2 linked regions of the Caenorhabditis elegans genome follow. The protein of the gene in region 2 interacts with the protein of the main gene of each other region in a pairwise test. Each region holds a gene or a part of one and is shown on either strand. Other genes may lie near its edges.

Region 1 (3,923 bases), 6.7 Mb from region 2:
AAACTCGATTTTTCACATTTTTTGAGGTAGAAAAAGCTTATTTTTCTGATTTTTTCAAGTGAAAAATAATTTTTTGCCAATTTTTCCGGTAAAAAAATCGATTTTTTCACACTTTTTGGGTACAAAATGTCTATTTTTCACATTTTTCAACTAAAAATTGTTTTTTTTAATGTTTTCGGGGTAAAACTTCAAATTTTTACATTTTTTGAGGTTTAAAACAATTTTTTTTCGAATTTTCCGGTAAAAAAATCGAATTTTTCACATTTTTTAGGATAAAAAATAGTTTTTTTGCCAATTTTTCGGTAAAAATTCAAAATTTTCCCATTTTTTGAGATGAAAAATCAAATTTTCGCCAATTTTCTAGTAAAAAATTCAAAGTTTTCATAGTTTTAGGGGCAAAAATGCCTATTTTTCACATTTTTCAACTAAAAAATCGATTTTTTCTCCAATTTTCACGAAGCCAGGCACCAACCTGCAAATGACGTCACGCTCATCTTCCGACTTCAGGAGACACGAATCTGTGAAACACACGAGAAGACCGTCTCCTTCCCAAATTTTGTGTTTTCGAGTCGAAGCTTTTCCATAGAGAACGACAAAACGGGCGATTTCGGCGCTCGGGGTGTCTGGAATTTTGGGAATTTTCGAAAAATAAAATTTTCGACCACAAAAGAGGCGGAGCATAAATATTTCGTTCAGCTCCGCCCATTTTTTGGGTCTTGCGACGAAAATGTGTCCCGTAATCTTAAAGCCTTACGCATTTTCGTCGCAAGACCCAAAAGTGGGCGGGGCAAACCTAGCCACGCCCATTTCTTGGTAGATTCCGATCTGCCGAATTTTTGTCCATTTTTGAAAAAATATGAAAAAGATGGGCTCCGAGATATATTTTCTCTGTGAGACCCGAAAAATGGGCGGTAGATTCCGATCTGCCGAATTTTTGTCCATTTTTGAAAAAAATTGAAAAAAATGGATTTTTGGTAGATCGCGGGCGGCCCTTTTTTGGGCGGGGCTTAAATTCCAGGAAGATTTTTTTTCGAAAAACACGATCTGCGGTCACAATTTCGTCGCGAGACCCGAAAAGTGGGCGGGGCGTAATACGCCACGCCCCTAAATTGCGCGGGGCTTAACAAGGCACGCCCACTCCTTGGTAGACCATGGGCGGCCCATTTTGTGGGCGGGGCTTAACTTTCTGAATTGTTTTCCCGAAAAATATTCGGGGATCACGATCTTCGCAGCGAAAGTGGGCGAGACATAATAAGCCACGCCCGTTCCTGGTAGATCATGGACCGACCAATTTGTGGGCGGGGCGTCAATTTCTGGAAGATTTTATTTTGAAGAACACGATCTACGGGCATAAATTCGTTGCGAGTCCCGGGAAAGTGGGTGGGACGTAATACACCACGCCCCTTAAATGGGCGGAGCATGTCTGAACACGCTCATTTCTTGGTAGATCACGGACCGACCATTTTGTGGGCGGAGCGTCAATTTCGGGATTTTTTCCGAAAAATATTCGGATATCACGATTTTTGCAGCGAAAGTGGGAGGAGCTTAGTAGGGCACGCCCATTTCTTGGTAGATCGTGAACCTGCCATTTTGTGGGCGGGGCTTCAATTTCTGGAAGATTTTTTTTTTGGAAGAACACGATCTACGGAAACAAATTCGTTGCGAGCCCCGGGAAAATGGGCGTGGCATTGCTCCGCCCATTTATTGGCTTTTTGTAGAAATTGTACATAGATTCGATTCCCGGCGATATGCGTTCCCTAAAAAATTGTCCGGCTAAGCTCCGCCCCTTTAATGGTGGATTTCAGATTCCAACCATTTTTGGTCGTTTTTTTTTCGAATTTTTCAGCCAAAAATGCCAATTTTTCAGAAATTTTCAGCCTATAGGCGTAGGCGCCTACCATTTCCCTCATAACTATCCACGTTGAGAACCACTCGGGACATCTGAAATATTAAATTTAAATTTTTGGCCTAAAAATCTGAAAATCTGGCAGCAAAAAATATTTCGTCCTAAAGAAAATCAACTATAAAATTGGCCAAAAAATCGATTTTTTAAATATATTTTTCTCCATAAAAAACGATAAAATCACAGATAATGGCAGCGAATATATTTGGAGAAAATTGGAGGTCGCCGCGGCCGAGAAAAACCTCGGTCATGGAGCAAAAATTGGGGAGAAAAGCAGTGATTTTAGTGTTTTTTTTCGGGGGGGGGGGGGGAACTCGGGAAAAACAGTGGGGAAATAAGTGAAAATTGGGCACCTAGGGGGGGGGGGGGGGGGGAAATTTTGGAAATTTATTTTTTTGGGGAGCATTTTGAGCATTTTTTTCGAGTATTTTCTGTGAATTAAAGAGAGGGAAAATAGGAATAAGCATGGCACACACAATGTTAAAATTTAAGGGATTGAAAATTTTTTGAAAAAAAAATTTTTTTTTTTTTGAATTAAAAAAAAATTTAAAACAGAAAAAATTGCAGATAAAAAGTGAAAAAAATACTGTTAATATTTGGCAAGACGCGAATTTTTTATTCCAAATTCTTCAGATAATGTGTTTTACGGCTTGCAATTCTGGCTTAGCCACGTCAGGCCTTCGTGTAGGCCGTCTCCGGTTGAAGCACATGATGGTTGGACGTACCTGCAAAGAAATTAATTGGAAATTATGGGTGAAAATCCGTGGATTTTTAGGTGAAAAATGAAGGTTTTTGATTGAAAATCTGAAAAAAATCAATTTTTTCGGTGAAAAATTGGCCTAAAACCGACAATTTTCGAGTTTGGAGCGTTTTTTTTTAAGGAAAAATGGGTTTTTTTAGTGGAAAAATTGCTGAAAATCCGGAATTTTAGGTGAAAATCGGTTTAAAATCGACATTTTTCGAATTTTGAGCGTTTTCAGGTGGAAAATATGGGTTTTTTAGTGCAAAAACTGATGAAAATGCCGTAAAATCCGGAATTTTAGGTGCACAATCGGTGTAAAAACGGAAATTTTCGAATTTCAAGCACTTTTTGATGAGAAAATTGGATTTTCCGTGAAAAACGGATGAAAATAGCTGAAAATCTGCAAAAATTCGATTTTTTTTGGGAAAATTGGCCAAAAACCGACAATTTTCGAGTTTGGAACATTTTTTTTAAAGGAAAAATGGGTTTTTAGTGAAAAATTGTTGAAAAACTGCTTTTTTTTTGTAGAAAATCGGTTAAAAAAAGGAACTTTTTTTGAATTTTGAGCGTTTTCAGGTGGAAAATATGAGTTTTTGAGTAAAAATTGGCTTAAAATAGCTGAAAATCTGGAATTTTTGGTCGAAAATCGGAGAATTTTCGAATTTCAAGCACTTTGTAATGGAAAAATGGTTTTTTTTTTGTGAAAAAACGGGAAAAGCCGGCAAAACGAGTTTTGGGCGTTTTTTAAGGGAAAAATTGAATTTTTAATGAAAAAAAAATGTTGAAAATATGAATTTTTGTTAGAAAATCGGTTAAAAACGGAAAATTTTCGATTTTCAAGCACTTTGATGAAAAAATTGAATTTTTACTGAAAAAATGCTGAAAAACTGCATTTTTTGATGGAAAATGGCTCTAAAACGATAAATTTTCTAATTTTGAGCGTTGTCAGGTGGAAAATTGGATTTTTAGTGCGAAAACTGATGAAAATGCCTTAAAATCTGAATTATTTGGTGAAAAAACCGAAAAAAAGGCGAATTTTTAGAGTTTTCCGTTAAAAAAAAAGAAGAAAAATTTCGTTTCTGGAGGTTTTTTAGAAGAAACTGAGGGAATTTTAAGCGAAAATCGCTATTTTATGCTTTTTCTCCGAGAAAATTTAAAAAAATTGTATTTTTTGCATAAAAACGAGATTTTTAGTGAGAAATAATCGGAAAAATTTGATTTTTACACCAAAATCTGCATTTTCTACCCATTTTCCGAGAGAAAATGGGTGTTTTTTGA
Region 2 (3,923 bases):
TTTTTTTGAATCACTGGCACATAAATTAAGATGATTGAATTGACTATTTGCATAGTTGGGTATAAAATTACAATCAGTCAGTTCTGTCTCATAAATTGAAAAGTTTGAGGACAAAGAAAGAATCCTATTGAAAGAGGTGATATTGCCCAGTAAATACATAATTTGGTCAAAATATTTGTACATAACCATGTAAATGACCTATTAAAACATCTCCATTCCAGTAATTCAAAAAAAAATCCAAAAAAATTTAGAAACATAATACAGGAAATAGAAGGAGTTCAAAAAGATTTTCTGAACTTTTCAGAAAGTAGGCTAAAATACGGAATTGGATCATTAGAAGAAAAGACAAAAAGTTTGAAAGGAAACTAATTGGTGGAGAAATTAATATTAATCAAAAACATTTTTTCAAATTCACAACTTCTGATCGCACTAGTAACCGGCTCACTTATAGATGGAAAACCTCTAGATCTAAACTTCGATCCCAATTGTTCACTCATCATGTGTTGAGTTTAATTTTAAGCCCAAATGAAATCAATTACCCTAGTTAGTTACAATTCTCATGCAAAGATTTTATTAACAAATTTCACTTCTTTATGTAGTTTATCAGTAGATACACATGTGTTTCGCGGTTTTTTAAATATTTATGGAATGTAGTTGAGGCATCAGCAATATGATGAAGCAAATATTTTGCACTAAAAGTCGCAATTAGCAATATATTGCTAGAATGTTGGTGGTCCCGCAGCGAGATTAGCGATTTGCAAATTGCATCTAAAATACTGGTGGCCATAAGTATTTTATAACGGCGAATCACCTGTGTCATAGCCTTTCTAAATTATTTGCACTTTCATCATAATTTTTTTTCTTGCGATTCTCTCCATTTTCCGTTCAATGAACGATTTAATACGCATGTTCAATAATAATAAAATTTATCCGAGAGGAGTACAGAAGAAAATTAACATCGCTGCGAGACCAATCGCTACAGTACTCAATGTCGATTTACGGAGGAAACATGTTTTGATTTCTCATTGTTTCTTTTGTCATTTTTTGTCATTTTAGTTTTAAAACTTAATTATCCTCTAATGATTTGCGCGGTTTTTTATTAAATTTTTGATTATTCTCGTAGCTTTTGAGTTAAACTAATTAAAAGTCTTCAGCTATGCTAAATTTTGCTTCCTTTTCTTGAATGAAAACCTAAAATGAACAAAATTTTTTGTCATTAAATAACAACGCTTCGGTTAACGCTTGAAATTGATATTCGGAAAATAAAAAGCCTGATTTTTGTTCGATTTCTGAAATATATTTCATGCTTTACCCGTTTTTAATTGCGAACAATTCTAAATTTGAAATATAATTTTCAATCAACGAAAAACAATTTTCAAGATAAAAAATTATTATATAAATTTAAGCTAAGTATTAATAAATTAATAAGTAATAGTATTCAAAAATCATAGAATCTTGCAAGAAAAAATGTTTTAAAGATTTAATAGTTCGAGTGATTGAAAAACGAATAGTACTTTAAAAAATAATGCTTTAAGGCAGAAAAGTGATATAAAAATTAAGCTCAAAAGGGCAAAAGATAAGGTTAATGTCCAGTTTTGGTTTTAAAATGGTTCGGACACAATGTACATAGTAGACATTTGGGTGTCCTCTTCCTTCTCTTTTCCCCATTGCGTCCACTGACCCTCCTTGCTGTATGTCTGCGCATCGTCTTTTTCTACACTTTTTCCTTTTCCCTGGCCCGTTCCTATCGGTGCCTTTCACACACGCGAGCGGCAGTGGACGAGACGGGAGGGCGAGGTGTTGAACAAGAGTACAGCAAGTGCGCGCCATCGAAAAAGCGGAAAAAAAAATTTCAAATGGCGCTACTTTGAAAATTGAGAATTCTGTATTTACTGCCAGTTTTACTTGCATTTAAATTTCCATGTTTTCTATTCTAAAACGAAAATCTATCTAAGAAAACCCTTAATAAAAACCTATAAATCATAAATTGTGATTCTTAAATTCGAAAATATGTTCGTTCAACTTGACGCCTAGAAATATGTGGACTTAATCCTGTTATAAATCAGTAGTTGACGACAAAAATAGTAGAGCAGCAAAAGCAGTTCTAACTTGTGAAAAACATGAAAGTTCTTGTTTTCGTCAAGCGAACGGGGGCTCGAGGAAGGACTTGGCACGTGTCTCTAGGCCATGTTTTTCTCAATTTTTGTTGCTCTAGAGAAAGCTTTTGCTATTGATTATGGGACAATCTTGGGGATATGAAGGTAACATTTTAAAAATAAGTTTAGGTAAATGTGTAGCATAATTTTTGAAAAAAAAAGCTCCACTGTTAAAAATGCCGATTTTAGGGATTGCGAAACGTTCACTATGTACACATAAATGGCTATATAATTTGAATTTGCATTCAATAAATCTTTTCCTTCCAATTGTATGTTTTAACTTAAAAATAATTAATTAAAATTATCTCAGGAGTCAAAAATGTCAGCTCAAGCAAGTCGTCAAAAGAAATCGGATCAAGAGCAGCGTGCAGCTGATCAAGCTTTGCTCAATGCAGCAATCGAGGATAATGCGATGGAGCAAGATGAAAACTTCACAGTTATCGATAAACTTGAGTCTTCAGGAATCAGTTCTGGCGATATTTCAAAACTAAAAGAAGCTGGATACTATACATACGAATCGCTGGCATTTACTACAAGACGCGAACTCCGAAATGTCAAAGGAATTAGTGATCAGAAAGCTGAAAAGATAATGGTGAGCATATCAAAAAATCAGCTTATTCGAGAATTAAAGAAAAAAACTAAAAATTCTGTGGCTTTATTTTTCAAAATCCAATTAATTGAATTGAAAGTATCAGAAAAGTTGATACATTTTTCGAGGTTAGCTCCGAAAAAGAATGAAACGATCAGCTGCAAGGTCAGTTTTGACGGCAAATCGACCAGCTGTGAACATGTAGACATCGGCCTCATATTTCAATGATTTAATTTCAGAAAGAAGCCATGAAATTCGTGCAGATGGGATTCACGACGGGAGCCGAGGTTCATGTGAAGCGAAGCCAGCTGGTGCAGATCAGAACTGGATCTGCTTCACTTGACAGACTGTTGGGTGGCGGTATCGAAACAGGCAGTATCACTGAGGTGAGTTTATCACGGATAAACTGACAACAGTACTCAATAAAACATTTATTTCAGGTTTACGGAGAATATAGAACAGGAAAAACTCAGCTTTGCCACAGTCTGGCAGTCTTGTGTCAATTGCCGATTGATATGGGAGGTGGTGAGGGAAAATGTATGTATATTGATACCAATGCCACTTTTCGACCCGAACGAATTATTGCTATCGCTCAGAGGTTTGTGATTGAGAATTATTCTTAAAAATCCTGAATTTGTCATAATTTGATCTCCCGACTTGAAAATTTAAAAAAAAATTAAAATTTATTTCGAGAAATCAGTAACATATTTTCTCAGTCTGAAAATAGCTGTTATTTTTGCTTGAACAATTGAAAAGGCCAAAAATGGTCTGCAAGTTGGAAATTGCCGTAAATGAACTTTCAGAGATGTTCCGGGTCTTTTTTTGGCGAATTTCAACTTGCAGGCAATTTTTTAGCCTTTTCCTTATTGTTTCAACAAATATAAGTTTTTTTTTTCAGATAAAGTAAATATTTCTCTATATTCTATCACTAAGTTTGAAATAAAAACGTTTGGAGAACAAGTCGCAATGGCTCATTTTGTACAATTACTGGTTTACGCCACATGGCTTGAATTTTGGCATTTGAGAATTTACCTTATTATGGATCTTGTAGCATTTTTTTGAATATCGAAGTAATTTCTTGCAGATACAATATGGACAGTGCTCATGTACTCGAGAATATCGCTGTTGCACGTGCATACAACTCAGAACATTTGATGGCTTTGATTATTCGAGCAGGT

The links.
Region 1: the proteins of rad-51 (region 2) and rad-54.B interact in a two-hybrid assay, tested with the Caenorhabditis elegans proteins (2 studies listed by BioGRID).

Annotation. Positions count from the first base shown.
Region 1 is NC_003282.8:16,948,085-16,952,007, reverse strand, and holds the start of rad-54.B (DNA repair and recombination protein RAD54-like), read right to left. Parts: upstream 1,942-3,923; coding exon 1,899-1,941; intron 624-1,898; coding exon 473-623; intron 1-472. Other genes in the region: arf-6 (ADP-ribosylation factor 6), read right to left, coding at 2,547-2,628.
Region 2 is NC_003282.8:10,282,558-10,286,480, reverse strand, and holds the start of rad-51 (DNA repair protein RAD51 homolog), read left to right. Parts: upstream 1-2,236; coding exon 2,237-2,261; intron 2,262-2,345; coding exon 2,346-2,425; intron 2,426-2,466; coding exon 2,467-2,748; intron 2,749-2,984; coding exon 2,985-3,131; intron 3,132-3,185; coding exon 3,186-3,343; intron 3,344-3,829; coding exon 3,830-3,921; intron 3,922-3,923.